4 linked regions of the Pelodiscus sinensis genome follow. The protein of the gene in region 3 binds, or shares a complex with, the protein of the main gene of each other region. Links are inferred from orthologs where the notes say so. Each region holds a gene or a part of one and is shown on either strand. Other genes may lie near its edges.

Region 1 (7,252 bases), on a different chromosome or scaffold from region 3:
AATTCCCATTTGAGGTAGGCCCCTAAGTACCTTTGGCTTTGAAAGCCGTTACCCGTTGGTCAGTGACAATGCCCCTACATCTGGTCTGCACATATCCTGGGCTGAATTTATCTGTGATGTAACTTCCTTGAAATCAATGGAGTTTTATCAGGGAAGGAGCTGGCCTCTTTTGTCTCACAATAATTAAGCCTGTCGCCTTGCAGTCTGTACTCGGGCAAAGTTCACATTGACTTAAAAAAATATGCATGAACATTAACTTCATTCCCATGTTTGCGCTCGAACCTTTAGACAACACTGTAATGAATCTCAGAAAGCAAAAGCAATTTCAGACAGACAACGCAGCACAAGCAAACAGCAATGCACATGCACCGTTTGGATTCTCAGCCTGGTTCCTTATTGTCTTGAGTGTTGCGTTGTTATTTACATTAATGCAAAGCGGGTTTTAAATTATATTGTTCCAATGCAGGGTAACCATCAATCAAGCCAGAGAGAGAGGAAATCTTAAAGGGCAGCAAAGAGCAGAAGGATGTGAGATCAGATAGGTAATGGAATGAGTGTTATCATACAATCTCCAAACATTATTTCTTACCACTTATACGAGGAGGAGCTATTGGTCCCAGCAAACCTGAAACTAAAACCCAAGTGAGTCAAGTTAGATTTCCTACATTTAGGCCTGGTCTGCAGTACACAGGTCAATGTTAGCTGCCTTGTGGTGATCTGGCTGTGGAAGTGACTTCATTTACATTTGGCTCCGACTGGTGTTTATGTGCCTCTCTATGCCAAATTAGTAATACATCTCCCCAAGCGGCGTAGAGTCATGGTCAATGAAATTAGGGCTGACCCAGCGTCAGTGTAGACACTGAGATACTTATGTCAACTGTTCGTGCCTGTCAGGAGCTGTCTCACAGTGCCCCACACTGGCAATACAATGGATACTAGAGCTCCTGGTAGTATCCACCAACACAAGGAGCCAAGCGTGCATGCACACAAGCAATTCAATAGCTGCAGTGGCTGCATGAAGATGTAAGTTAGGTCGACAATGAGCACTTATAATAATAATATATGGTGATATACCATCTAATAGAGCTGGAAGGGACATTGAGAGGTCATTGAGTCCAGTCCCTTGCCCTCACAGCAGGACCAAGTAACATCCCTGACAGATTTGCCCCAGATCCCTAAATGGCCCCCTTAAGGATTGCGCTCACAACCCTGGGTTTAACAGGCCAAGGCTCAAACCACTGAGCTATCCCTCCTCCTTCAGAGGCAGGCACCTTCGTTTTCCCCTCCCCAGAACATCTCACCAGCCAGAGGGACTTAAGGATCAATTCCCTCCCCTCCCTTCCAGCACCTGGCCTTTACAATCAGCTGCTTTGCAGTGTGCAAGAAGAGCTGGAAAGGAGCACTCAGGAGAAGGGGTAGAACTGGCCAGGAAGAGGCAAGGCAGGGGCCCAACATGGAAAGGAAGAGGCAGGGTGAGGGTGGGGCCTGGTGAAGGGATACAGTGGAGGTTGAGTCTGGGGTTGAGCACTCCTGGGGAAAGGAGGAAGCTGGCACCTGTGTCCTATGGTGTGAAAAAACCTGAAAGTTCCAAATTCAGAATCACAGAACATATTTTAGCAACAAAGCCGATCAAGAGATAATTAGTTCATCATGCATTATTAGCTGAGTTTTGTAAGTTTCTTCCGGGTATATTATCAATCTAGATTTATAACCAAGATGAGTTAATCATGTTGAGAAATCAGAAATGAACACCCCATAACAAAGGCATGCTTCGTGGAAAGTGTTCAAAAAACTTCCGCTGCAGAGACAGTGCTAGTGAGAGTCAAGATTTGGTTTATTTTTCTTTGTGGACCAAATTAATCTCTTGCTGTTAGTGAATGCAATTGCTGTTGACTTCAATAGGATTGGGCATACTGAATCTGGCCTATGGATCTTTGTGTCTTACACTGGGATAAGACCAATGGGCAGATGTATTTCCCATTGGAGGCCACAAACCCATTGTGCTGTGGTGGAATTATAACGAGGAGTCCTGTGACATATTTGTTTGGGCATAAGCTTTTGTGGACAAACCCCCACTGTGTTAGATGCTTACAGTATTTTTTTTGTCCACACACAGGCCCATTGATGGGGAGACAAAGGGATCTGGCAATTCAGAGGGAGTGGAGTAGAAGTGGTGGGAGCCTGGGCCCTGTAAATCACTATGGGAGCACTGCATGGCGTGCTCCAGGTGGCTCTGAGGTTTGGGAGAGAGGGCAGCATGGCACACTCGAGGCCGGGGTGGGCAATAATTTTTGACTGGGGGCTACTTCAGAAATGTTTGAAGTGGCCCCAGGCTGCTGGAAGGGGCGGGACCTCAGGCAGAAAGGGCAGGGCCATGACACTTCAGTGCTTCTCCACCCACAGACTCTGATTGGTCTGGAGACAGGGGAGCACGCAAAGTCTTTGTCTCTCACCCCTGCAGAGAGAATTGCCAGCTCTTCTGAACAGCTGGCAGTTCTCTCTAGGCACCCGTTCCCCAATGGTTGGAGGAGACTTCACGTGCTTCCCCTCTGCTTCCCAAGTCAATCAGGCCTTGGGGGAGGGGGAGCACGCAAAGTTTCTTGCTTCCTGCCCCAGACCTGCAAGGGAGTACCACCCTTAGGCCTTGTCTACACTGGGCCACTTATTCCGGAAAAGCATCCTGCCAATGTAGACGCGCTTCTTCTGGAAATACTTATAACGGAAAACTCTTCGGCTACGTCTAGACTGGCCCCTTCTCCGGAAGAGGCATGCAAAGCAGGCAAGTCAGAATAGGGAAATCCACGGGGGATTTAAATATCCCCCGCGGGATTTAAATAAACATGGCCACTGCTTTTTTTCCGGCTTGGGGAAAAGAGCGTCTAGACTGGCGCGATCCTCCGGAAAAGGAATAAGAGATCCTCCGGAAAAGGGCTTTATTCCGGAGGATTGCGCCAGTCTAGACGCTCTTTTCCCCAAGCTGGAAAAAAAGCGGCGGCCATGTTTATTTAAATCCCGCGGGGGATATTTAAATCCCCTGCGGATTTCCCTATTCTGACTTGCCTGCTTTGCATGCCTCTTCCGGAGAAGGGGCCAGTCTAGACGTAGCCTTCCGTTTTAAGCATTTCTGGAAAAGGGTGCCAGTGTAGACGTAGCCTTAGAGTCAACCGCCAGCAGAACAGCAGCTGGTGGTTGACTTTAAGTACTGAGCTCCTTGCAGGGCAGGAGGAGATTTTGTGCGCTTCCCCCATCCCCAAGCCCTGATTTGCCTGGGGATGGGGGGAACATGCAAAGTCTCCTCCCGCCCTGCCCTTGTTCTGCAAGGAACATGCAGCGCTTAGAAGTGCCGTACACTCCTGGCAGGATGGGAAGAGACTTCCCGTGCTTTCCCCTGCTCCCAGGCCCTGATTGGTCTGGGGGTGGCGGGGGGGGGGGGGGGGAGCACACAAAGTTGCTCATTCCCTGCCTTCTAGCGCATGGTGCTTAGAGTCAACTGCCAGGGTTCACCGTGCTGTGCGCTCCCCCATCCCTAGGCTCTGATTGGCCTGGGGGGTGGGGGAGAGGCAAGGCCAGATCAACGCACTTGGTGGGCCAGATCTGGCCTGCGAAGGCCCTTTTACTCATCCCTGCTCCAGGTGGTGCTGAGGGCTTCCCAATCCCGCCCCCTCCTGTCTGAGGCTCCGCCCCTTCTGGGAGCATGGAGCTGCCCAGCCTTGCCCAGGAGCCCAACAAGTCTGTCAGCCTCCCAGCTCAAACCAGGAGGCTTCATGGCTGCAGGGAAAATTGAAAATAACAACACCTTTAGCATCAAAATCCAGATGGCCAGTAATGGATGATTTTTTTTGTATTACTAGAAGACGAACCCGGCATTGCTCAAGTCAAAAAAGTTTTTTTTTTTTCATTTAAATCATTGTTCTGCAAAGGGGCGTGGGGTTCGGTATTCAGGCTGCCCTGGGGAGAGAGGACCACTCCAGCCCTCTGTCACCGCAGCAGCTTGGGGCCAAGTGAGAAGCATCTGTCCATGGCCACTACAGCTCCAGCGGGCACAGCTAGGGGAGGGGTTCATGTCCCCCAGCTGGGGGGCTGACAGACACACAGACAGGCTCTCTGGAACGTGCAGTAGAGGAGCTGTCCCTGTCTCTGCTTCTGTCCCCAGCTGGCCCAGTGGGGTTCTACCTGGGCAGCCTGGCTTCCATCGATCGCTCGGTGCTCCATGGTTCTCCACTGGCCGCGCCTCCCCGCCTCGATCTCTCGGCGCTCCGTGGGCTGGATTCGCTCGGCGGTGCGCTCGCTCTGGCCTGGGCCAGGCCTGAGCAATCGCTCGCGGGGCCCGGCGGCTGGGGGATGAGCCTGGCGGGGGGCAGGGCGCCGCGGCGCACGGCGGGGAACCGGCTCGCGGGGCTGCTGGAGGCGGAGGAGGATGAGTTCTACCAGACCACCTACGGGGGCTTCACGGAGGTGGGGGGGCTATGGAGGGATTGTAGGGGGGATACGGGGGGGCTGTGAGGTGTCCCTGGGGGGCGGTGGGGGGATTGTAGGGGGGATACGAGGGGGGCTGTGAGGTGTCCCTGGGGGGGGTGGGAGGCTGTGGAGGGATTGTAGGGGGGATACGGGGGGGCTGTGGGGTGTCCCTGGGGGGCGGTGGGGGGCTGTGGAGGGATTGTAGGGGGGATACGAGGGGGGCTGTGGGGTGTCCCTGGGGGGCGGTGGGGGGCTGTGGAGGGATTGTAGGGGGGATACGAGGGGGGCTGTGGGGTGTCCCTGGGGGGCGGTGGGGGGCTGTGGAGGGATTGTAGGGGGGATACGAGGGGGGCTGTGAGGTGTCCCTGGGGGGAGTGGGGGGCTGTGGAGGGATTGTAGGGGGGATACGGGGGGGCTGTGAGGTGTCCCTGGGGGGGGGTGGGGGGCTGTGGAGGGATTGTAGGGGGGATACGGGGGGGCTGTGAGGTGTCCCTGGGGGGGGTGGGGGGCTGTGGAGGGATTGTAGGGGGGATACGGGGGGGCTGTGAGGTGTCCCTGGGGGGGGTGGGAGGCTGTGGAGGGATTGTAGGGGGGATACGGGGGGGCTGTGAGGTGTCCCTGGGGGGGGTGGGGGGCTGTGGAGGGATTGTAGGGGGGATACGGGGGGGCTGTGAGGTGTCCCTGGGGGGGGTGGGGGGCTGTGGAGGGATTGTAGGGGGGATACGGGGGGGCTGTGAGGTGTCCCTGGGGGGGGTGGGAGGCTGTGGAGGGATTGTAGGGGGGATACGGGGGGGCTGTGAGGTGTCCCTGGGGGGTGGTGGGGGGATTGTAGGGGGTATACGGGGGCTGTGGGGTGTCCCTGGGGGTCGGTGGGGGGGCATCAGTCCCTTGTGGAGGTTGAGTTGGGGACTGGCTGGGGTGGGGGCAGTGTGGGTGGGGAGCAGAGGGGCCCATGGGAGGGTAACATGCTTGGGCGAGTGGGGGCAACTCACTTCTGACTGTTGTTTCCTCCCCCCCCCCCCCCATCTCCTGGGCAGGAGTCGGGCGATGATGAGTACAAAGGCGACCAGTCGGACAGCGACGACGAAGTGGACTCCGACTTCGACATCGATGAGGGTGATGAGCCGGCCAGCGACCAGGATGATGATGAGCCCAAGAGGAAACGCAGGGTGGTCACCAAAGCCTACAAGGTGAGGACAGAGCAGCTGGTCATGGTGCTGGATGGCTCCCGCTGGTTCTGTATTTGGCAGCACCCACTAGTCATGGATTAGGGATACCCCCCTGTGTGCTGGGTGCTGTATGGCCCATGAAAAAAATGGTGGTTTTGGCCCCAAAGAGCTTCCAATTTGAGTAGATGACAGGAGGTGCCAAGTGGATACAGATGGGGGAGCACAAGAAAACAATGAGACAACCACAGTCAGTATGATGGGCAGTGTTCTCTACACAACAGCTGGCTAACCCCTGTTTCTGACATAGCCCTGTGGGGCTAAGGGAGGGACCCATATGAAAACTGCTGGCAAAACTCTCAGTATAACCAGATTATAACCTAATTTAGGGGATAACTGGGGAGTTGACAGCAATTCCATTTATAGGCTGTTTTATTTATGTTCTTAGCTGCAGTAGAAGCTTGAAAGCATAGTCTTCCAGAGCAGGAGTGCAGTCTCCTGGGCAGGACTCCTGGGTTCTATTTCCAGCTCTGGGATGGAGTGTGGTCTCAAGTTTAAGCAGGAAATTTGCAGTCAGGACTCCTGAGTTCCATTTTTGGGTCTCTGCGCTAGGTATGTGAAGGACTAGTCAGCTATCCAATAAGTAAACACTTATCGGATAGTCAACAGGATAGTCAACCAGTCACTTCCCCCCCATTTGCCGCCTCTATCAGATAGAGGCAGCAAGGGCGGAGGGAAAAGAGGAGGTACTTCAAAGTGGCAGCACCACATGGAGCTTGGGGTCTGTAAGGCGCTGCTGACTCTGGGCTCTGTAAGGCGCTGCTGCTTTAAAATGCCACAGGAAGCCTGGTGTTGGGCTTCTTGTGGCATTTCACTGCGGCAGTGCGGGGGGAGCCCGCGATCTGCCTGGGCTCCACACAGTGCTTTTGCTTTTGAAATGTAGCAACAGCCCTTAGGGCTGTTGCTATACTTCAAAGGCGGAGGCGCCCTATTGACTAATCAAATAATCGATGCAAAATGCATTGACTATTCGATTAGTTAATTAGTCGATACTTAACATCCTTACTTTGCGGGAGTGATGTTAAGTGATTAGAAACTAACCATAATAAACAGACCATAGTACAGGCAGTCCCCGGGTTACGTACAAGACAGGGACTGTAGGTTTGTTCTTAAGTTGAATTTGTATGTAAGTCGGAACTGGTACATATTGTAGGGGAAACTCTAGCCAAACATTTCTCCAGAGCTCAATTTTATTCCCCCACACCTCACTTCCCTCAGTCCTTTATTCTCAAGCTAAGGTGTCTGCTGAGAAAAGCCGCTCCGTGTCTCCCTGGTCTGCTGGAGGGAAGCAGCTAGTGCGGGGTTGCCTCACCCCGTTTGTAAGTAGGGATCCGATGTAAGTCAGATCCATGTAACCCGGGGACTGCCTGTAATAGTAAAAGTAAATCAGAGACTGAAAATGTTCTTTCTGTAATCAAAGGTGTAACTAGTATTACGGGCAGAGCACTTTTAAAAAAAAAAAAAAAAAAGGCATTTATGTCAGCAAGGGCCTTCTGGCAAAAAGCAGCAGCAAAATCCCTTGTTTAAATAATCCCTTTAATTAAATGGGGCTGAAATCTCCAAAGCAG
Region 2 (7,806 bases), on a different chromosome or scaffold from region 3:
CGCCCGGCCAGCTCACAGCCCAGACGCGTCCGGGCTGTCAGCTGATCGCACGCTCCGCGGCTTGGCTCTGCTTTGCCCCCTCCCCCTGTCCTCCTGGTCTGCAGACCAGGGGGACGGGGGGGGGGGGGGGGGGGCAAAGCAGAGCCAAGCCTCGGAGCGCGTGGGCAGCGGACAGCCCTGTCCGCTGCCCACGTGTTCCGCCGCTTTGCTTCCTCTCCCTGGTCTGCTGGAGACCAGGGAGAGGAACGCCCCGTTCGTAACTGCGTAACTCGGGGACTGCCTGTACAAGCAGTTTTTAAGTGAGGTGAAACATGGGGGTACACAAGACCAATCAGACTCCTGAAACGGGAACAATAGTCAGGAAAGGTTAGGGGCACTGTTCAAAAATACACACACAAAAACTGAACGGGTTATACTGCAACTGTTTTAAAATCAAAACAACTTTCCTTCTAGCAACTTATTAAAAATGTAAAGCTTTAGCATAATTGTGTCCGCTGTTGCACTGTGAGGAACAATTGCACTGTTGCACAGTAGGAAATGCAAACAATTTAGCAACAATCCAAATGTAATTTCTGATTCACTGGAATTCCAAAACTGACCGGCAAGTTTTGGACAGTGGTTTTACTTAAGTAACACGTCAAATGAGTAGCTGAAAAGCTATAGAAATACACTTTTGTCTTCAGTATCTGCATTTGACATTTTATAGTCAGTTTTCCCTGTCTGTTTGTGGCCTCCATTTCACAGACCTTTTGCACAGCAACTGTTAACAATTCAGCAACTGTTGAGCACTGTCAACAGGCTTAACTGTCAGTTGACTGTGCTCAGCACCTTGCAGAATCAGGCTGAATTTTAGGGACTAAGGGGGAAAAAATCAAAGTGCAAGGAATGCGAACCCTTAAACATTTTAACCAATGGTCCTCCAACTAGTCATTTATTTTTATAAACCAGAAACTAAGGAAATATTGCTTCCCCACTCCAATCCTGTTTCACAGTATAAAGTTATTCATATACCTAAGAGTTTTCAGGACCCAAGTCTAAATTGCTGGTTCCTTTGTATGTTAACTTCCAGTTGGGAAACTTGTCTTTCCTATGGTTTCCAGTTGTCCCTGTGACAACTTGTTCAAAAAAAGCTAGTTAAAATAGAATTACAAAGCTGCTGTTTTATAGACTGAGTGCCCTTTTCCCTACTACTTGTATGGTAAATTTAGTACAGATTAATTTTTCTTTCAGATTGGTTACCTAATATTATTAAAAATGAAGTATAATTGTGTTATTTACCTTGTATAAAAAAAACAAACTTTGAGACCCCAACACTAAAAATATCAAATCACTAAGTCCTGGTCTACACTAAGGAGTAATTTCAAAATAACCCCCATTATTTCGAAATAAGCGGAGCATCCATATTACCAAGCCTGTTATTTCGAAATCTTTACTCCTGCTTTCCTCAGGGAATAATGCTTATTTTGAAACAGTTATTTGGAAACAGTATTTGTGCGGACACCTCAGTGCTGCGATTTCAAAATAGCTACTCCCCATAGTAATTTGAAGTAGTTACTCCCCAGGGTATCCTGGGACTCTAAGTCAAAGGAGCACATCCACAATAATGGAGCCTGCGTTGTACTAATTTTGAGGCTTCCCCATAGTGTGGGCATACTATTTTGATTTTGCTCTTTCAGGTGTTATTGTGCTGAATTTAGTTATTTCGAAATAATTTCCTAGAGTAGATTTGCCCTAAACTGACTCTCAAGCTTTAAATGACAACTTCTCTTTAAAAGGAATGCAACTTTTAAAGAGGCACTACCAATTTATAAATATCCCCACATGTACATTTTGCAAGACTAAAGTTTTATGAAGACTACCATCACCAACTAAAATGGCTAATCAATTTAAAAAAGTCTACTATAAATAGCATCTCTTTAAAACCAAGAAGTTCCATACAGTACTTGGAAATCCATCTACAAACCTGAAAGTGAAACTATCTTCAAAGTTCCATTGCTCAAGCTGCGAGAAATGCCAAAAGCAAACCAAACCATGGAGTTACACACTGGATTTATAAAAATCCAAAATTGTAAATAGTAAAAGTAAAGAGATTGCAACATTTGAAAACGCCGTGTTTCATTAAACCCTCAGAGCAAACGCCTTAATTGCAAAAAGATAATACTACAATAAAAAAAGTATTCCCTCTCTTGTCTCCCCCACCAGTCAATGGGAATCACAGCAGGTCTGAATTGTTCAGTTAAAAACAAAAACCCATTGCCATTGCTATTGTTTCTGGTTGTCAGGAGAGCCTGCAGAGACAAAAAGGCAGCCTGCAGAGAGATGAAATCTAACACAATCTTCTTAGGGGAAAAGGGAGCACAACAAAAGGTAACCCGTCTGATGAGGGTACTGTCCTCTCCCACATCACCCGTTTCTTTCCCGGTGATGACAGATATTGCAATGTATTTCAGCGAGACATTTAAAGTCTCTCTCGTAACACTGCGGAACACTCCCCTGCTCTGTGCTCATTCACTGTCCCAGCATGAGTACCTCCAGGTAATTATACTAATTGCATATCAACTGGATGCTACTCTGCATTTACTGCAACCTACTCTGCTCGCAGAAGAGTCTGCTATGCAGATTGAAGTTGCACGAATCAAACTCCTAGCGAGAGCTCTCCCAGGAACTCAGAGAAGCCTGCAAATCACCGCAGAAGGAATCGCAACAAAAGAGAGCAGCGAAGCAGCCCCGGGATCAGAGCTGCAGCCCTCCCTCCCCGCAGGCACACACGAGGAGGGGCGGAGAATCCGGAGAGGAAGACAGCAAACTAGCCGAAAGCCCCGGAGCTCGTAACTGCTGCTGTGCCCCCAGCCCCCAGCGCTTTCTCCGGGCACCCTCGCGCCGCGGCTCCGGCTCCCTCACCTCCCGCGTGCCCACGGACGGAAGAGGATGGGGGATAGAAATGCTGCAGCCGCGCTTCCCCTCTACTTTGCCCCCTCCCCGCCTCCAGCAGAGACAGAGACTCATGAAACAACAGAAGCTGGAGGGTGCTCCTGGCTGCTCCCCTCCCACACAAACGCTGCGGCCAGCACAGCTGCTCGGCTCCCTCCCCCAAACACAAGCTCAGTTCCCCCCCTCCCAGGTCCCACTCTGCAGGCTGCCCCCCATGCCCGCACTGCCCCTGCATTCCCTCCCCACGGAGTGACCCCCCCGGGGGCTCCCCCTCACAAGCACAGCCCCCCACGCTGCGTTACCTCCCCCAACACAATCCACTCCCCCCCCAGGTAAGCCAGGCGAACCCACCGCAGAGGCGGCCGCTGCCTCGTCTCCCCCCGGGGCTGCGCTACTCACCAGGTCCTTTGTGTTTTCCATCAGGCCCTCATGGGCAGGGGATGCCTGCTGCTCTCCCCCCCCTTCCCTCGGCTCAGCCCCCTCCCTCGCTCCCCCCTCCCCTCCGAGGGGCCGGGCCCGGCTGGGGCAGGAGGTGGCCTGGAAAGTTCAGCCTCTCACTTAGGCAGAGAAAGAAATTCAACTCCCTGCCCAGAATATCAACAACATTAGCATAACCGCAGGGCGCAGGCGCAGCGCCCATCCCGCCGCGCGCTCTCATTGGGCCCCCAGGTCTTCGGATCCTCCTGGCTCGCCGTATTCCGTAGGGTGAAACTATTTTGTAAAAGGGGGGGCTGGTGGGAGAGTGCTCGAAGCGGCGTGTCAAAAACAGACTGGTAGTTGGCGTGTTCGCTGCTTCTGAGCCCCGTGTTACCGTTTGTGAGCCGCGCTCCTGGAAGATTAGGCCCTATAAGTGGGACTGGTCCCTTCCGCGTGAGCAATGGAATGGTCCGGCCTGGGAACCTATCACGTGGGAAGCGGGGGGAGGAGGGAAATGGATCACGTGAGACTGTCTTGCCTGAAGGGGGCGCTGACTGAATCACGTGAAAGAGGCGTGATGGGGGCAGAGAGCCTATCACAGGGTGGGAGGTAGCTACTAGGTCACGGAGGGCGGGACTTGTTTGTTTCTACTTCCGGTTCACTAGTGACGCTTCCGCTGTGGGCACGGTAGGCTCTGAGGTGGGTGTGGAGATGGAGCCGGCAGCTGCTCGTGGGAGCCCCGCGCGGAAGCGCGTTCGAGCGGAGAGGAAGCGGCGGCAGTCGCCGCGGGCGGGAGACTCCGGCGATGGGGGCGAGGAGGCCCGACGTGCCCGGCACCTGACGATGTTGTCCGGGAAGCCGGAGGTGGAGCGGTGCCTGGAGGAGCTGGTGTTCGGCGGCAGCCAGGAGGCCGAGGAGGAGGAGACGCTGCAGCGGTTGCGGGCCCGGGGCAAGAAGGTGAGGCGGGGGGAGGGGATAAGTAAAGATCGGAAAGACGGGGGTTGGCGGATGTAGAAAGGGCCCCACTGAGGCACCCCTCCCCGTAAGCCTCACTTCTTCCTGCGTCTGGGTGCGCTTTCCCCGCACGGGGAGTGAGCATGCGGCGCTCCCTGTCCGCAGCACGGGTTCAAATAGCCGTGTAGCTGGTGCGGTAATGCTTAGGCGAGTAAAGTCACCCCCGAACCCTGTGAGCATGTGGCCACTTGGTGCTTTCCTCCCCTGCCATTCGTAGTGGTGTAGTGTCATGCTGCCTCGTCCCGCAAGAGCCATCCACTTCCATGTGCAGTTAGTCATACTGTAGACACAGTTGAGTTTTTGCTGCAGCACAAATCTACACCATTTGTACTGTGTGCTGCAGTCAATGTAGGCAAAGCCTCCCCTTTCAACTGCTCTCTGTTGGGAAGGGGAATAGGCCCCTGACTAAAGTCTTACTTACATTTATATGTCTTATTTATATGGTTAGAGTTATATGTGTAAAATCTTACTTAAATGTATATGTGGCTTATTTTTCTGGGCAGTTTTAAATATGAAGCATAAAACTGCTTTGGGTTGCTTGTAGCAATAGCCACTACATTTGTAGGTAGTGAACTAATGATGTTAAATTTAGATTAATCAGCTAATGGAATAGTTGATGTAATTTGCATCGACTATTCAATTAGTCGAGAAGGGCACTTTCACCTGCTGGCTTTTGCTACATTTTAAATGTGCAAGCACCACAGGGCCAGCGGGGCATGACACATCTGATGGGGAGGTGGGGGAGGAAGCAACTAGTCGAATACATCCCTATACTGAATGTGGGTTCGCAGGCAGAATCAATTTCAGATCTAGTGGGACTTTTGGCATTAAGAGTGAAAGACCTAGGAATACAGCTGGAACTTACTGAAAATCTTGCTTAAAGGTGCATCTTATTACATGTAGACTAGTCTGTCAGTAGCAATAGATAGGTGGCTTTTTTAACAGATGTGTCTTTTTAGTATAAATAAATTGTTCTCTAAACTATGACCTTTCCTGAGAAATAGTGGGTATGGACTATGGGAGGGGAGATAACTGCTTGTCTGATTCTTGTGGTTGGGGTGGGCATTTGGAGGAGGGGAGCATTAGGAACTGCACTCTGTATCCCTCCTGGCTCTACACCCAGCATGCGGAGATGGGAAAAGCAGTGGTTTTACTACGATTCTTTTATTTTTCCCCTATGGAAAAATGTCTTTTAAACTTTCTCTGTTTAAAGTTGTAAATATTAAATTTGTCCAGTGTTTGACCATATGGTATGGGTTTTTTCTTTAAGCTTGATACTGTCACAGGAAATCTTCTAAAAGAGGACATCAGTGACTCAGAAGTGGAGAATGAAGCAAAAGATAATTTTCCTGCATCTAAAAAACCTGCCTGGGTGGATGATGATGATGAAGTTGAGGAAATGTGAGTTAAGCTCATAATGTTATGATGTGACTGGAAATAAGGGGAAATAGAGGTATTGACTTCAAGAATTGGAAGAAATACTGAGTGTGTTGTTCTAAATGGCTGCTTTTTGAAGTCTTCAAGAAAATAAGGATTGCTACTATGCTTTTTGCAGTTTTAGCATTGAGAATATGGCTTTGTTTCCTAGAGTTGACATGACACATCGTTATCGCAAAGGCATGATGAAAAGTGATGCAGAGAAGAAGCTTACCAAAGAGAAACTTAATCAGAGACTTCAAGAACAGTAAGAATTGTTAATGGATTATGTTAGCAAACTTTGCTGTTAATTTTAGTAACATAAGATATGTTATGTTCAAGTAAGATTTGCTCTTTTTTTTTTCTTCTCCTTTTTCACCAAGGGACTTGGGTGAATAACTTAAATTCCTTAAAGCTAGTCTGCTTAACAGCATCGACCATGTTGTGAGGACTTAACAAATAACTAGTATAATGAAAAAAACCCTACATTCTTAGCATGTGATTGTATTGCTTGTCATTGAAGCTTTCAGCTGCTCTGTGGTATGGAGAGGAGACTATTGAAAGCTTTATTGTCATTGGAGCACAGTCTTGTTTCTGTTTCCTTACCATTATATGACATAGGAGAGAAGTTAACATACAAATTAGACTTCATAAAATCCGTTAAGCAACAAAATAAGTAGCTTCATCAATCAAATGCATCCAACCCCGTGGGAGTGAGGCAGGCTGTTGCAGCCCAGGTTGGCTGGAGCAGCCTCCTCACTCCCCTTTTAATTGGTTAACCAGTTAAACATTACATTTAAACAGTTAACCATTTAAACAGAATTTTACATATAGCATAATATTTATATGCCCTAATTATTGCATGTGTGTATTTAAGCATCCTTTTTATTAGGGATTTAAAAATGCACCCATGTAACTGCCAAAAATTATAGTGGTTATATGTGCTGTGGGCTCTGCAGAGGTGTGCAAGGAGCTGCTTTAGCCCCTACCAGTTAAACGGAACTGGTAAGCCTTACCTCTTAAGGGCAAAGCTTACCAGTTAACCTTTTACAGCACTATTTCTTATATATGTGAACTTTGCCATCTAGGCATGTATGAGTATAACATTTTATATATGTATGTCATTTAGTTCAGATTTTCTGTGCTGAATCAGTTCATGGAAGCTAGAGTAGAAAAGATCTATTTAAAAACAGCAAAAGAAGTCTGGCTGCTGCATCTGAGTGAGATGGTGTAATTGTTAGGAGGCACTGTTTTAATGTCTACCTATTAGTGAGAGAAAAGTTGCAGAAAAATCAGTTTTTGGCAGTATGATACACAAATCATTAGAAAAGAATGGGGCTATGAAAATTGTCCTTTCTTTTAGATTTCAGAGAGCTATGGGAGGCGTGCCTTTCTGGGCCCAGAAACACAAGAAGAAAGCCAGAAAAAATGCAAATGATGGTAAATATATTTAAATACATTAGAAAGGCATTCGCTTTTCCAACATGATCCTTTATTTTGTGTGACCTTTTAGAAAGTCATTTGTTGCCTGGCACGTTTCCTGCTTTAACTTTTACTGTGTACTGTATACCTGCTGCTTTATGCCTTCTCTGGCCATGTCTACGCTATGCCGAAGTTCAACTTTGCCACAGTTGATCTTCTGGGGTTCAATTTAGTGGGTCTAGTATAGAACTCAGAGGGTGTCCTGATCAGCTCCAGTATGTCGTCTCCTCTCGAGCAGTAAAGGAAGCTGATCTCCCACTGTGTGGATGTTGCGGAAACACGATTTAAGATCTGTTGACTTCAGGTATGTAATACACAACTCCAGCTGTGTTAATCTTCAGTTGTTCTGCCTCTGTGCTTTAGCTTATTGCTTTGACTCACAGCTGCAGAGAACTCAAAAGATAATAAAGTTTATATGGAGACGCAGCAAGAAATTACACACTTAATGCTCAGTTTTAAATTTGTTTTAACTAGATGATAGTGATGAAGATGATGAGCTGCTTCACAAGACTGGCAATTTTGTGTCTGCGTCAGAGACTTTACCAA
Region 3 (7,429 bases):
ACAACAAGCATTCTTCCTCTGGCTTTTTCAGCACAATCCAGAAACTGAAGCTCACAAGTTGAATGGACAAGCCAACTCTCACAAGTTTATCATGAGAAACGTGATTTCTAAAGAAAAATAGGTCTTGCCCATGATCTTGTGATTGAACTCTCAAATCTCAGGATTTTTTTCTGCCCGGGCTGGGTGATCTCCTGCTGTCAGCCGCTGGCGGCTGAGAAGTCCATTGTTAGCTGTAGGTGGTAGTTCCCATGGCAGCCTGCGAAGTGGGTGAGGGGACCAACTGCTATCCCTCCCACCCCAAAGCATGGGGAGAGTGAAAAGATGCAGAGATGAGACTAGAGGGACTGAACTATGCCAGAAGGGTGCAGGGGGGGCGGTGAAGTGAGGAGCGTGAGGGCTGATGGGGTAGAGGGCCCATACTGATGGTGAGTTCTGAGCAGATGGATGAGTGCTGGGAGGATGGACTGATTGTGGTGGGGTTGATGGGGGAGGGTGGCTGAACTGTTGATGTGGTGATGATGGGGGGCTGGGGAAGTGAACTGAGTGGGTCTGAACTGAGGGCACTGGATGGGGAGAGAACTGACGGGGAACTGGGGAACAGGAATAATTGCTGGGCAGGTGGTGGGCAGATGTGGGGTTGAGAGCTCCTGCAGCAGGAGTCAAAATAATCGTATACAACGCAAGTTGGAGAGAGGGCAACACTAATTGTTACATGCTACCCCCTTGGGAGGGCAGAGGGAATTCAAACATTAAGAGACTGAATTAAAAAACAATATAATCTTTTTTTAAGTCATGATTTTTGGGCCAATCTCATGATTTTTAGGGGTCCAACTCATGATTTTAGATCTCTTGAAGTTGACAATACTGTACAAGTTAATACCATATTACTTTGCTCAGGGAATCCCTTTATTCACTTTTCCTGTTAGGGTCAGGCTTTTGTAGCCATACCTCCATTTCAAGTCACTCCTGCTTCATTTAAAACAAAAACCAAAACCAAAAAGACCACAACTTCAGTGCAGAGAAAACATTTTGGGTGAGCAGTTCTGATGCATGTCTGCAGAGCTCAAATTTTAAATAGAGTCATTGCTGGCTACATTTTTCCTTTAATCAATGTTTTTCTTAGCACAATTTTGGACTGAAGATTAGTGTCCAAAACTAATTACAGATTTCATTCCTGTATTTCCTTATTAAACCCAAGAAAAAAAATTTCCTTTAGCCTTATGTGTAACAAAGTTAACATACTTTGTTTTATGGTTCTCCACTAACCTTTTCTTTTTCTACTTCTCTCAACCTGGGTAAGAACCAGTCTCCGACCCCAATTTAAAGGAAACATTTATATCCTAAATTGCGGTGTGGTTGAAAGTTGGTCCTGCTGCACTGAAGGCCAATGAGAAAAAGGAGGGAAAATCCAAAAAATTGTGCACTGGCAGGGAGTAGTAGGTGGTGCAAAACTAGAAAGACTGAAATTCCTGCTGAAGGTGACCTTTTAAAAATCTGCACTTAGTTCACTGTCCATTTTGCTACAGCAAAAATTGGGGAAAATACCAGAAATCAGTGGCAGATCTAAAAAAGACACTGGGGAGGGGACATATTGAATAAGATAACGGAGTGGGAAGGAGATTAAGTGGCTAGCTCAAGGTCACACAATATATCAGTGGCAGAATGAAGTATTTAACCCAGCTCTCCTGGCTCACTTTTCAGATGCAACACAGCAAAGCTAGGAAGGAGCAAGAGGAGGGGCAAGCTGTCTTAGTCATTTGTGACTAACAGCAGTGAGGGAGCAGAGATGCTTCACTGCATCCCAATCAAGATGGAAATAAAGAAGGGAGCTGATAGATTCAGTCTTGTCTGAGATCCCTTCCTTCCAGAGTTGCTAACTAAGCCTCACCATGAAGAGGCAGTTCCCACATCATCTGATCGAGGTTTGTGGGTGGAAAAGGGCAGACATAGCTGCACCACCCCCCTTTTGTTCTGCCAGAGAACTTACTCATTATTGCTAGCTTCTCACGGGAAGATGTCCCTTTGGGGTGCAGCTCCTTCACACCTGCTCCAGTTATTCAAGCAGGATCCTGAATACACAATCCACCCCAGAACAAGAAAACAAAGTCTTCCTTATAAATAACCAATGTTCAAGCTAGGAGGTTTAACTATACCCCTTCGTTTCAGAGCAGGGTTTTATCACTCTCCACAGAAACCTAGCACTGCAGAAATTAGCAGCAGGCAAAAAGATCTCTCATTTAATCTGTTCCCTTCTCTCTCTCTCTCTCTCTCTCTCTATATATATATATAGGAGAAATATGACACTGCAAACCTTGCTGAAAATGCAGATAGAGTATTTTATTTTCAGGAAAACCATAGAAATGCTCAGTTGGTTTTGGGCTTGCCTGGAAATAAATATTCATTCTGTGTTTACAGCAGCATAAGATTGCTTTTTAGGGCTGAATTCTAATGACCCCTGGCTCATTAGCCCTGGATTGAGAAAGGCGCAGATCTACCTTACCTGCCGCTGACTTGGAATGGAAAAGGAACAGCACCATGCAAGTCACTTGGAGGATGCTCGGGGTGAAAAAAGCCAGGGCCATTTGTAGTCAGTGCCCCGAGAAAACTGCTACTGTCTGTTCAGCTCCGATAGCCAGACTTCATCTTCCAAGTGGGCTCCACTCTGTCTCCAGGACCGGGAGGAGGTGGGTAGCAAGTAGTCACTACTGCTGTCACCTAGAGGCAATGTGGATGTACTGCACTGTCTGGGTTTTTTTTCTTGCTTTTTTTTCCTGGCAAATCCTGCCCACGCCTAACTAGTTTAGAAAAGTTGTATTAGACACCTGTATAAACCAATGGATTAGAAAAGGAGGCAGAGAAAATCCCTATGGGGGTGCTAGTGAAAAGCTCCTACAGCTGCAAAAATTTTGAAAACAGTTTTCTGGTACAAGGTAATAGAATAAATGTATTTTGGTATGCGTGGCCATGTGTATCTTGCAGATTTTTGTATAAAACACCACGTTAAAAGTTACAACAGACTGATTTCTGTAGGGCTTAATATTCCATTAGAAAATAGGTGACGTAGTCTGCCCAAATCCTGTATCATATTCCTGATGGTTAAGAAAAATGCTGCCTTAAAAATCTTTCTAAAACAGATGAGTAATGAATTTGAGTCATACACTCATAACACAGTGCAAACCAATAACATTTAAGACCCCAATCTTGAAAACTTGTAAGTCTCTGGATGCAATTAGACTCATACAATAGACTGGAACTACTCCCATGCAGAGATACAAACACCTAGGTTTTGGCCTTATTTTGCATGAGATCCTTCATACAAACTAGATGACACTAGGATTTTGGAGAATCATGGCAGGCTGGGTGGATTAGCTGCTTTTAATAAAAATATTTTATTGTACAATAGTATAGTACAAAGCATAGATTGAGAGAGATGGGTACAGCACAAAATATGAAATAGCTACTTTATTATTAACTAATTGCTCCTTGCAGTATACCTTGCTAAGTTGGATGACACTTCTATAGTTTGTCATGCAAATAAAGTTTCTGAACTTGACTGCTATCCAGGAATACTTCTTCCACAACCCATCTTCCAACGTTTATACTTTATTCCCTTCTATTTTCTGTTCTACACCCGGCTTATTAATCAAAAGCCACTGAACCAGTAGAGCTGTCTTTCAAAACAAATTAGGGAGAATTTTGTTGTTGTTGCTTTCATTAAAATCCAGCTGTTGGGTCCAGTACAGGTCTATGGAAGAATATATACTGATATCTCAGTCTGTGGATCTTCACCCAAAGAGCGGGGTAAAAATGATGATACACAGTACAGGCCAACAGGGTATTCCAGGAGTTGACTTTCTGTATCCCGTGTTCTTGCTTCATTCAGCTGTCCCCGTCTCCTCCCTGCTCCTGTTTCTAGTGGGAAAAGCTGTGTGTGTCCGATCTGTTGAGGCATCTTTGGTCTCGGCATTGAGAGCCAAGCGCGTGTGGCTGTGAAGCCTCCGCTCTAGCACACAGCCCGGGGAGCCTGTCGCTTTCACAGCAGGGCGGATGCTCCGCGCTGGGAGCCGCTCTGCCCGGGAGCTCCCGCGGGGCCCGCTACAGGGCGCTGCCCGGGCCCGCTGCAAGGGCCGAGGGTAAAGGCTGGTGCGGGGCTAATGGACAAGCCAGGCCGGGTCTGGGCGCTCTGCCTGCGGCGCTAGCTGCTGGGCTGCCCGGCCGCGCCCCCCGCTTTGCGGCCGGAAGGGATCCCCGAGCCCGGTTCTCGCGTGTGGTGCGGAGGGTTCGCAGCGCGCCCAGCCGGGGCCCCCCTCAGACCGTGACCGGCGCGCTGTTGGGAGGGGGAGGGGCCACCCACGCGCGCGGACTAGGGGCCGAGCGGGGGGATGCTGGCGGGGCGGGGATGCGCGTGCGGGGGCGGGGAATGAAGCCGTTCGCAGGCAGCGGCGGCGGCCGGAACTGAACCCCGGCGGCTTCCGTCGTGCGTTGGGGGCCCATGCGCCGCGCCCGGCTGCGGGCTCAGGCCGGAGGGCGACAAAGGAGGGGCTCTCGAGCGAGGAGGCCGCGCAGGGAGGTAAAGCCCGGGGCGGACTGCGGGGCAGAGACCGGACTCGGCGGTGGGGGGAGCTCGGGGACTAGGCCGCGGGTCGGGGTGTGTGTCTGCAGGGGCCGCGCAGGCAAGTCCCGCAGAGGCCCTGTCGGGGGCTGCCCTACAGCGGGGTGCGCGTGTGTGTGTGGGGGAGCCCTGCCCTAGAGTGAGCTGGGCGCCCTAGACCTGGTAGTGGGCGCTGGGGGAGACTGCCCTGCTGGTGATGGGCAGGAGTCTGGCGTTGGAGTATCGGGATGGGGATGAGGGAAAGGATGTGAGGGGTGGGGAGGCTTAGCTTGTGGGGCTTAGGGATCTAAGGCTGGAGGGTCAGGAGATCTGATCTGAAAGGTTGGGGAGAGGGCACAGATGCCAAGGGCTTTGACCTCAGAGCAAACCCGGGTTGGTAGAGGGAGATGCAATATCACCTTTATGCCCATCTTTAAGATCCATAACTGGTTTCACACAATTACAGAGCAAGAGCACTAGCTGGAATGGGGTCAGCATAGATGGAGTCCAGTCAAAGAGAAAGTGGCACCCTCAATCAGGAGAGAGCCACCAAGACAGAGAAGGTAAGGATAGAGAGGAGCTGAGACTTCAAGGTTGTATTTCCAGTGCTGTCATGAGCTGCCTTCCTGTTTAGGCTAATCACAAAACCTCAGTGCTCCCTTAGCTGTAAACGAGGTAGTTCTGTAATCACAAAAATGTCAAAAAACTCCTGTAAAGTTCTGTGACATTTTTGCGATTACAGAACTACCCATTTTACAGCTAAGGAAGCACTGAGGAACAGAGAGGTTTTGTGATTAGCCTAAACAATCAGTATTTGCATAGAGATTAAGAAAGATGTAGTTAAAAATGCAGTGTATTTCTATTGAAACATAGATTGATTTGAAAGCTAAATCAAATTAAGATGTTGGATATGATAGAAAATAAACATGGATTGTGAAATGAGGTCAGCAGTAAAGGTCTGTAACACAATGAAAACTAAAACCAACTGAGACGCTACTGCTTTGAAGTTCTTTTTACATATTAGGAACTCAGATCATGTTTGTGGAAAAACTTGATTGAGGTACCCTGAAACCTTGTTGAGAGGTACTTAAAAGGACATTATCAATTTGAAATCTAGTCAAGTTAAAATATGTTGTTACACTTTTTATGTTGTGTATCTTCTTCTGACTTCCCTATGCCAGTTTGTGTGCCTTTATCACTGTATTTTCCTAACCCTTAAACTGTTATTCTCCCCTGTTGCCATTTGATAGACCCATACAAAGAAAATGGAAAACTCAGTATGCAAATCTGTAAAAGATGAAGTAACCTTTTTTTCTCTTATTTCAGTTAATTAGAATATAAGTTGCAATTGTATGTAAATAAATATGACAAATATGACTTTTAAATTGATGGTGCCCCTTTAAAATAAGATGTCACAGGACTAAATCACCAATAAGCTGTCATATTTACAATGTTTTTTTATTTTTGTAGGTGGGCTGATTTTTTTCAGTTTTTTTTAATATACTCAAGTCTGGTCCAAAACAAAAATGGCCTTTGTTTCAACGCAAGGGCCCACCGTGGTTGACCAAACCACTTTGATGAAGAAATACCTCCAGTTTGTGGCTGCTCTAACAGATGTTAATACTCGTAAGTTTATTTTCCATTTCTTAAGGAAATGTGATTCTTTACTCATTTGCTTCAGGGAGTTCTGTAATATTGTCTACAGAGTTGGTTGGTAAATTTGAATGGAGTTCACTTTGCATTTTCTTTATCTTTGATTGTTTGAAGAAGCAAAATGATGAGCATTACTTACATGAGCCTTAGAGTGAAGTGTGTGAGTATGAAATGTGAGTATGAAAGTGTGTGATTGTGAGAAATGTGTGATTTATAACTGGGCAATGATAGCTAAACTGATAAGATCTGATTGCTTCTTTTACCTGTGAATGTTTGGTATTTGTCAGGTTTTTGTCACATATATTTAATTTTTCACTCAAATTTGTGAATTTTCAGCCGATGAAACAAAATTGAAAATGATGCAAGAAGTCAGTGAGAATTTTGAGGTAATTGCAAAATTAATGTATTTCTTGAATGATCTAAATGCCACATTTCTTGTTCTTGGTGTGTATGTCATCTGGATTTCTGATCCTGTTTTTATTGTTTAAAAAGGAAATACCGGTTTTCTTTGTTAAACACAGAACCAAAGAGTAATGGCTATTAAAAGTTAAAACATATACTAATTATTAAGTTTAGAGTGCATTACAATCCACTTGCAGAATTATTAGAGGTCCGTAGCTTGTAGCCTCCAGGTTTTTTTCTCAAATATTTGTTTGAACAGAAAATCTTTGTTTAGTACATTTTGAATAAAGAAACTAATCAAATGTGTTTACTGCATAACCTTGATACATTTGTCTGTGGAATTGTTTCTCTAATGGAGTTCAGATGCACATTTAGCTCTCCAAGAAGTGGTTTGCTTGCTTTTTTTGTATTGAGTAATGCAACAGTTGAGAGGTGAGAAGGAGGAATTGTCAAGTGTGGATTCCTTCCTTGAGGACTGCAGTGAAGTGAAGGTGATAGCACTGACCCTTTTTCAGTTCAGCTGATCAGGGGAAAATAGCTTAGGTTCATTTGGGATGCTTAAGAATACCACGTAGAAATACTAGATTTGCCATTTGTTGCTCAAGAAATGGCACCATTATACAATATTATGCTAAAATCTGAATGGAATCCCCTGTTTTTATGTGTTGCTTTTATTTAGAAGTACTGAATTCTAGGTACTTTAGCCGAATAGAATTTAATCTGGAATACTTGGGCAAGTATATCCACATTAATAAAAAATGTCACATGATATTTAATGACAAA
Region 4 (7,310 bases), on a different chromosome or scaffold from region 3:
CCTTAGGTACCAAATCCAGGGATGGAGCTACAGCTGCCAACTTTCCACTGGGCTGTAGGGTGCTCTCTGTTCCACCCCCAGCTTTGCCCTAGGCGCTGTCCCCCTCCAACCCTTTCGCCTAGGATCCTGCCACTTCTTACCCTCTCCACTGAGCCAGTCACACCCATGCTTCCCCTTCCCAGTGTCTCCCACTGAGAGAGCTTATCGCAGTGGGCAGGAGGAAAAGGAGGAGGCGGCACTGACCGGTGGGGCTGCCCATGGGGGGATGTGCTGAGAGTGGTGGTGGGGAGATGAGCAGGGCTGGTGCAGGGCCGGACTGAGGCATGGGCTAGCTGGGCAGCTGCCCGGGGTGCCAACTGATGAGGGGCGCCTGATGGTAGCTGTAAGGGGCGCGCGGTGTCCCTTACAGCTGCCATCAGGCGCCATGCGCCTGGCTCCCACAGTGCCGGCACCACGGCGCCAGCCAGCAGCTCCCTTCCCCCCACGACCGTGGGGCCCTGCACTGCCCGGCGCATGCGCCAGCAACACTAGCCAGGCTGGGCTGGGCAGCGCATGCGCCATGTGCCCCGGGGGTGGGCCCCGGGCTGCGCACCAGTGGCTGTGGCCAGCCCATGCATGCGCTGTGCACCCCAGGGGCAGGCCCGTGCTCCCTGGGAGGGCCCCACAGGTGGGCCCGCACATGCGCCGTGCACCCGGGGGCAGCACTGTGCGCCCGGGCCCGGGGTGCCAAAAGGGCTCTGGCTGGCCCTGGGCTGGTGACACAGAACTGTGGCTGTTTGTCCATGTGCAGTGGTACATTCTGGCTCCTTCTCAGGGTTAGGTTGGCCATCCCTGTTTTAAGTTTAACCTGTTATCTATTCTATGGGAATTTACATTTCTAGTACAAGCTGCAGGTTAACAGGGATCCATTACTGAAAAGCAGTCACCTCTGGTGTGAAGCATGGTAGCTGGCAGTGTGTGTGTGTGTGGGGGGGGGAGTACAGCAAGACACACAACATTTCCTCACTATGATTAAGGGAACTCCTGCTTTCCAGCCATAATCCATTATTGTTGGATTCTAGAAATCAGCCCCCAATAATCAGCGTGTGCAATCAGGAAGATGAGCACTAAAATCACGGCACGATGCACACTGGGGTAGTTTAGGCCCCCAGCATGAAAAGTTAAGGGGTAGAATGCTCAGCTCCGGCCAGCAGGTATGCTAGGTAAGGGGGTGGGATAGAGAAGGGGAAACTCCATATGTTTTCATAGCATTTTGGACTTGTAGTCCCTGAAGCCCTCCTTAACCTGCCCTTAGGCTCTCTGCTTCCAGTTCCTTAGTGGTGATGGGAGAGGGGAGCTTCAGGGTGCCTCAGCCTGAAGACCAGCGTTCCTCAGTGCAGAGAGAGAAAAGTGTCTATTTCCTGCAGAGCTGGTGTCTTTAATTCACAGCTGGAACTTTTTTTTTTTTTTTTTGCTGGTGTGGGAGAAAAATCAAATAACTCCAATTGTGTCTAAGGGGGGACTGTGCAGGAAATCAAAACTCTCTAAAAGAAAACTGCTGTAAGGGTTAAAAGTTTTCCAGGCCTCTCTCCCTGTAACAGAGAGAAATCATCTTAACTCTAATCAAGACCCTTACAATTCCTCCTACCTCAAGTTCATGGAGACTCCTAGTCTGTCACAAATTGCCATGTAAACTCTTATCTTTGTCACAGTTTGCCTTGTAGACTCCTCACTCAGGTTCTCATGTGCCTTTGTACTGTAAAACTTACTTCTAGCACTTCTGGTGTGAACAGAAACCTCACTTCTGCTGAGACTTTGATATGTTAAAGAAAACAATCAACAACTAAACTGTCTGAGCATACTGTATAAAGGATCCCTGAACCTGTCTCTCAGGGCTGCTGCTGCTCTCACTCTGGTAGCTGTCAGCCTGCATGCATGCATAATAAAGTTTTCCTTCTAGATTTCTCTCCTGCCTCACTGCTTTGACCTCCAGCCTCGGACCCTTCTGGGGGTTCTGTACCCCAGGGGAGTGAGATTTCCCCAACACTGGTTTAATCAGTCATGGTATATTTTGACATCACTGGAGTCTATGGGCAGCAGCAGGAGCAGTGAGATATTATCTAGTAAAACTGTAAGGTACCGAACACAGGGTGCACCCAGCACACTGCTAAATCTGCCCACACAGCCATCAACCCCTGGATATTTAATATCTTAAGGGATTTACATTTACTTGTGTCAAACACAGCTCGGTGCCAGGTTTAACTGGCGGGCTTCATTTTTTAATATTTATTGAAAATATTGAAAAGATGAAGCACATACACCTGTGTAGGCGAGGCTTAGAGACCATCAACATCAATTAAAGTCTCCCCAGGATTTCAAGTCTTGTAACCTTTAAAAAATAGAGATTAGATGAGGGGAGGCTGCACACAACCACACTCATCCATGGGTATGGACTTTACAGTCACAGAATTTTGCACCTGTGCTTGTGAATGGCCAAACCAGCAGTCCCCAGGTCCCTACAACTTATTATCTAACTGATCTCACATTTGTGTTGGTTAATATATGAACACTCTGATCATAGCTCACCCCATGTTCAAAATCTGAATATTCTTAATCCAATGAACGTGAAAATAATAACAAAAGCAGAAGTCTAGCGGGGGTGGGCCTGACGTGGGTGGGCCATGACACACTTATTTTTCATCCAGGTCCACCCTGCTCGGGCATAGGGGCTGACACACCTGCGCCTGGACTAGGGTGCTGGTCTGACCTCACTCTGCTAGCACCCCAGCCAGCATGCGGGGGTTTTACCACCCCAATCATTACCCACCCACCAGAAGGTGGGGCCACCCCAGCGGGCCCTTCTGGTTAGCCACTGAGAAGCACAGATATATTGTAAGAGCAAAGGGGCTCCACCGGGTGAACATAAAGTTTTCAATTTTTCAGGCTTGACTGGGAATTAAAGCCATTGGACTCTGAGGCACTAGTAGGGGTTTGTGCCTGAAACTGGGAACTCTTCAGCAGCCTGAAACCTGGCCCTGCTGGGATGGTGCTATAGGTCGGTCTGCACAGACAGAAGGTGAATTGGAATCGAATTGTTCACAGGTGGGTCCTAGTTTCATGCACCCTGCTGTCCAGAAGGAGAGTTTGCAGGCGGATTAATTTTTTAAAAGAAAGCTGCTTCCTTGTGTTTTGAAGAAGAGAGAAGAGGAAAGCCATCGCTTGCCGGTTGGTTTTAAACACAGGCAGCAGGGCAGCTTCAACAGTAAAACATGGAACAAAATGCCTCAGAGAGGTTTCCGTGGTAGTCTGTCGCTTTAAAAACAACGAGCAGCCCTATGGCACCTTAGAGACTAGGAAACACAATATAGCATCATGAGCTTTCGTGGGCACAACCCATGTGACAAAACAGCTTTGTCTCCACATTTTGGCACAAGTGCGGCAGCGGTTTAAGTGAATTGCTTGTTCTTAGGAGGCCTATTGATGGCTGGGCATGGTGTGGACACAATCCGCTGAAACAACAGGGAGATTAACGGGGCTCCTCTCCCAAAGTGCCTTTGTGGAAGCTGCATGAACGTCCCACACCTTGGCCACCCATCCCTTCCCAGTGCCCATTCTATGCCCCGTGGCATGCTGAGATCCAGGTTGCAGCTGGCCACAAGGGGGCGTTTGCAGGGGATCCCTTGCAAAATGCAGGAGACAGACACTGGTAGCAGTAATCCAGAAATCCCTTTAAGCCCTGTTAAATCCTTTGCCTAAAGCCTCACATTGAGAAAAGCTGCATGAGAGAGGCATACTGTCAACTGTAGTACCAAACAACTCAAGCTTCCAAGAGCCCGGCTAGCTCAGTCGGTAGAGCATGGGACTCTTAATCCCAGGGTCGTGGGTTCGAGCCCCACGTTGGGCGCAACCTTTTTCCCCTATACTCCCAGGAGAACGTTTTTCCATGCAGCTCCCTAGACTCCCCCAGGATCGCGTGGGGTCCTGGGCTGGCTTGCTAGGCGTCTAAGAGCAACGCGGACTCCCCAGGCTCGGGCAGGGGGATGCAAACGAAGGGCCGCTGGCCGGGGAGGAGGAGTGATGGGAGAAGCACACGGAAGGGGCTCAGGCTGCAAAGGCTACAGGGCGCGGGGGAGGGCCCGACACAGGCCTGTGCCTTGTGCAGGGAAGGGCAGCGCGCAGCCCTCTGCTCCGAGCCAGGGCCGGGCGCTGGGCACAGCTGGCCACGGGACGCCCCGGCCGGGCAGAGCGCACGTGGCGCTGCAGGGAAGCCTGGGGCCGGCCCCGCCCAGGACTACAAGTCCCGGCATGCCCGCGGCGGCGGGAGCATGCGCAGAGGCGCGGGGCTGGGCGCTATAATGCGGTGGCGCTGGCGCGGCCCCGCCGGCAGGGGAGGGGTGGGGAGGCGGGCGAGGCTCTTATAAATGGCGCCCAAGCAGGACCCCAAGCCCAAATTCCAGGAGGGTGAGTGCGGCCGGCGGGGCGGCCTGGAGCGGGGGGAGGAGGGGGGGGCTGTTGTTGGAGCGCGGGCTATTGGGGGGGAGAGTGGGGGGGCTGGGGGGGAGGATAGATGGGAGATGGATGGATGGGGGAGGAGGCTGGCTGTTGGGGGGGATGTGAGGGGGGGCTACTGTTGGAGCGCGGGCTGTTGGGGGGGCTATTGGGGGGCTGGGGAAGGCGTGCGGGGGGCTGTGGGAGGGTGGGGGAGGATGGGTAGGGGGAGGGTAGGGGGGTGGCTGGCTGTTGGTGGGGGAGGGGAGCTGGGGGCTATTGTTGGGATGGGGGATGGGTGGGTGTGGGGGGTTGTTGGGGGGGCTGCGGAGCATTGTTGGAGCGTGGGTGAGGAGTTTCTTTTGGTGGGGGATGGGAGCTGGGGACTGTTGGGGTGGGGGGTACTGGTGGGGCTGGGGGTGCCATGGGAGGCTGGCTGGGAATGGGGCTGGGAGCCCTGTGGGAGGCTGGAGAGGTGCAGGGGATGCTGGCTGGGCTGGGGGTGACAGGGTGTTGGGGTAGTGGGGACTGGGAAGCTGATTCTGTGGCCAATCCATGCTCCAGTAGTTACAAAGCTCTGGGGTGTGGACCAGAAAAAAGGCCCTTTTTAATCTTCCAGCTTCAGTCCCTCCCCCCTATCTCTGCAGTGGGGGAGCGGAGGGCTAAAAGGAAGAGATGGTTCTTTGAAAAAAGGCAAAACACAACCTCCTCACCCAGTTGCTTGTAGGTGAAACCACTGTCACTATCTGTGCTTCACACAGCTTGTGTGCACTGTGTGTCTGAGAGAGTGGTTTGTGGGCTGCAGGGTTGAAACACGGCCTACGAGGTCAGTTATGACCCATGGAGATGATGTATCCTGGCAGGTTGTGGTGAAACAGAATGGCCTTTCAGTTTAGATCTAGGTGCATGGTTCCCTGCTGGAAGCCATCTCCTCCAGCTACTCGATTGGTAGCTGCAGTATAGGTACTCCATTTTACAGAGGGCTTGCAGCTTCTTGGCAGTCTTTCAATGAGGCCCTCAGTTAAGCAAATTTGGACTCCCTTGTGTGGTACCTGAGGGGCAGAGGGCTTTTAGGATGTTCCAGCTCCCTTGCGTGCAGAGAATTAGGAAATGGCAGTGGTTTCTCTTAGATAATTCTCTTGTTTTTTTTCCATACTTCTCAATGCTCTCAGCTCACCCAGGAGACTCAGGACTTGTTCCTTTGTTTAGAGTGTGCTTGACTTTTGTCTTTTTCATCGGTGTGTGTCAAAGCATTCTGATAGATATCAGTGGGCATTGAAGCCATTGAAAGATTTTTTTTATCAAGTTGGACTGTCAAGATTTTCCTTTCTTGAGGTTGAGAAGTATGTTTACTTCATTACTTAAATTATTTTTATAAGCTCGCCCAGTTGGAGATCTTGTATCTTGTCTTGTGACATAGTCTTTATTAAATATGGCTTAAGGATATTGTAAACTACAGTATGCTGATTATTGTGGTGATGTGCAACACTGTTATAACTATGGTGATCTCTGTTCATAACAACCCCCCCTTTTTTAGACATAATATTTTAGGGCATGACTCGACTACAGAATTAAGTTGACCTTATTTACGTCGGCATCCAGCAGTTGCAGTAATTACATCACTTGTGTGTGTCTGGTTTCTTCTGTCAGTCGTGTGTGCGCTCACCAGGAGCACTCGTACTCATTGTACTATCAGTGTGGGGCATTGTGGGATGACTTCTGGAAGCCAGTAATAGTCACTATAAGCAATGCACTGCTGATGCTACATCCATGAGAAGCATAGTTAGGCCAATGCAGAGTGAAATGCCCTGCTGTGTTACCTTATGTTGTCTAGATTAGGGCAAAATTTTAGTGTAAACATGTGCATAGGCTGCCATAAGCTGCCGTGCATTGAGATAATGGTAATGCAGACCAGGCCTTAATTCTCATCAAGCTGAAACATGACATACACTTTTCATGAAAGATGCAACTTACTCAATAAAATCTGCTTTTAAAATAGGTGGTGTTTTTTAGAATAGACAAATGACAACTGTAAGGGTAATATTTAAATATGTAATTTGAAAGACTAATGGGTGTTTTGAATGTACATGTTGAATTGTACTCGTAGATATGGGAAGTGGTATTGTTTGTGCTGATGTGACTTTCTGGTGTAGTGTGTAATATGCCAGTTGGTTTTTTATTTTAGCTTTAGAGAAGCTGACAGCAAGTGGTCTTTAAAAATTTCCCCTGGATTTAGCAGTATGTATTTGCTTATTTAAAAAAAAAACAGATTTAACTTGCAAAGTTGTCTTTTGCCTTGTATCTTGTCCATTCTGGATCTGGATCCAGCAGATGGCATTTGATTGAAACCCTTCAGAAGTCAATGGAAAGATTTCCCTGGGAGTCAGACCAGGTCCTTAATGAATAATACATTAGAATTCACCTTACACATGTAAAACTACTGCAGCATTAAGCATTGAAGCCCCAATCCTTGCAACTTGTGTTTTGTTGTTGTTTTTTGCTTACCCATTCACATCCCTATGCCAGATAACTGGTTAACCGTTACCCAGGAGTGGCCAGCCATGGATGGAGGGCTGCTCCAGCCCCATGGGGCTGCCAGCTCTGGGAGTCGTCAGCCTCTCATGGGGTTGGGAGGGGCAGCTGGGGGGGAGCAGCTGCTTTCGGCCCAGCACAAGGCTGCCAACTCCTAGCTTGCGTGGCCTGGGAGCCAGCAGCCCTCTCCACCTCCTCCTGACTGCTGCTTCCAGCCCCAGACAAGGCTCCCCACTCCTAGCCCCTGCAGCCTGGGAGCCAGCAGCCCAGAGTGGGACCAGAAGCAGCTGGGCTGGAGTAGCCCCTGCACA

What was found.
Region 1: TRRAP (region 3) and VPS72 share a complex: the UniProt entries of both Homo sapiens proteins name them as parts of the nuA4 histone acetyltransferase complex. The link is inferred for Pelodiscus sinensis from reciprocal best matches to the Homo sapiens genes TRRAP and VPS72.
Region 2: TRRAP (region 3) and MBTD1 share a complex: the UniProt entries of both Homo sapiens proteins name them as parts of the nuA4 histone acetyltransferase complex. The link is inferred for Pelodiscus sinensis from reciprocal best matches to the Homo sapiens genes TRRAP and MBTD1.
Region 4: TRRAP (region 3) and MORF4L1 share a complex: the UniProt entries of both Homo sapiens proteins name them as parts of the nuA4 histone acetyltransferase complex. The link is inferred for Pelodiscus sinensis from reciprocal best matches to the Homo sapiens genes TRRAP and MORF4L1.

What each region holds. Positions count from the first base shown.
Region 1 is NC_134734.1:15,612,250-15,619,501, forward strand, and holds the start of VPS72 (vacuolar protein sorting-associated protein 72 homolog), read left to right. Parts: upstream 1-4,250; 5' UTR 4,251-4,341; coding exon 4,342-4,455; intron 4,456-5,495; coding exon 5,496-5,648; intron 5,649-7,252. UniProt on the Homo sapiens protein: Deposition-and-exchange histone chaperone specific for H2AZ1, specifically chaperones H2AZ1 and deposits it into nucleosomes.
Region 2 is NC_134730.1:15,381,832-15,389,637, forward strand, and holds the start of MBTD1 (MBT domain-containing protein 1), read right to left. Parts: upstream 3,008-7,806; 5' UTR 3,007-3,007; coding exon 2,902-3,006; intron 2,615-2,901; exon of another isoform or gene 2,592-2,614; intron 2,469-2,591; exon of another isoform or gene 1,964-2,468; intron 1-1,963. Other genes in the region: UTP18 (U3 small nucleolar RNA-associated protein 18 homolog), read left to right, coding at 4,060-4,305, 5,633-5,763, 5,951-6,046, 7,142-7,218, 7,735-7,806. UniProt on the Homo sapiens protein: Chromatin reader component of the NuA4 histone acetyltransferase complex, a multiprotein complex involved in transcriptional activation of select genes principally by acetylation of nucleosomal histones H4 and H2A.
Region 3 is NC_134726.1:24,279,397-24,286,825, forward strand, and holds the start of TRRAP (transformation/transcription domain-associated protein), read left to right. Parts: upstream 1-4,422; 5' UTR 4,423-4,570; intron 4,571-5,057; 5' UTR 5,058-5,154; intron 5,155-6,061; 5' UTR 6,062-6,117; coding exon 6,118-6,217; intron 6,218-6,580; coding exon 6,581-6,630; intron 6,631-7,429. Other genes in the region: TMEM130 (transmembrane protein 130), read right to left, coding at 2,501-2,582. UniProt on the Homo sapiens protein: Adapter protein, which is found in various multiprotein chromatin complexes with histone acetyltransferase activity (HAT), which gives a specific tag for epigenetic transcription activation.
Region 4 is NC_134724.1:1,223,542-1,230,851, forward strand, and holds the start of MORF4L1 (mortality factor 4-like protein 1), read left to right. Parts: upstream 1-4,305; 5' UTR 4,306-4,400; coding exon 4,401-4,440; intron 4,441-7,310. UniProt on the Homo sapiens protein: Component of the NuA4 histone acetyltransferase (HAT) complex which is involved in transcriptional activation of select genes principally by acetylation of nucleosomal histones H4 and H2A.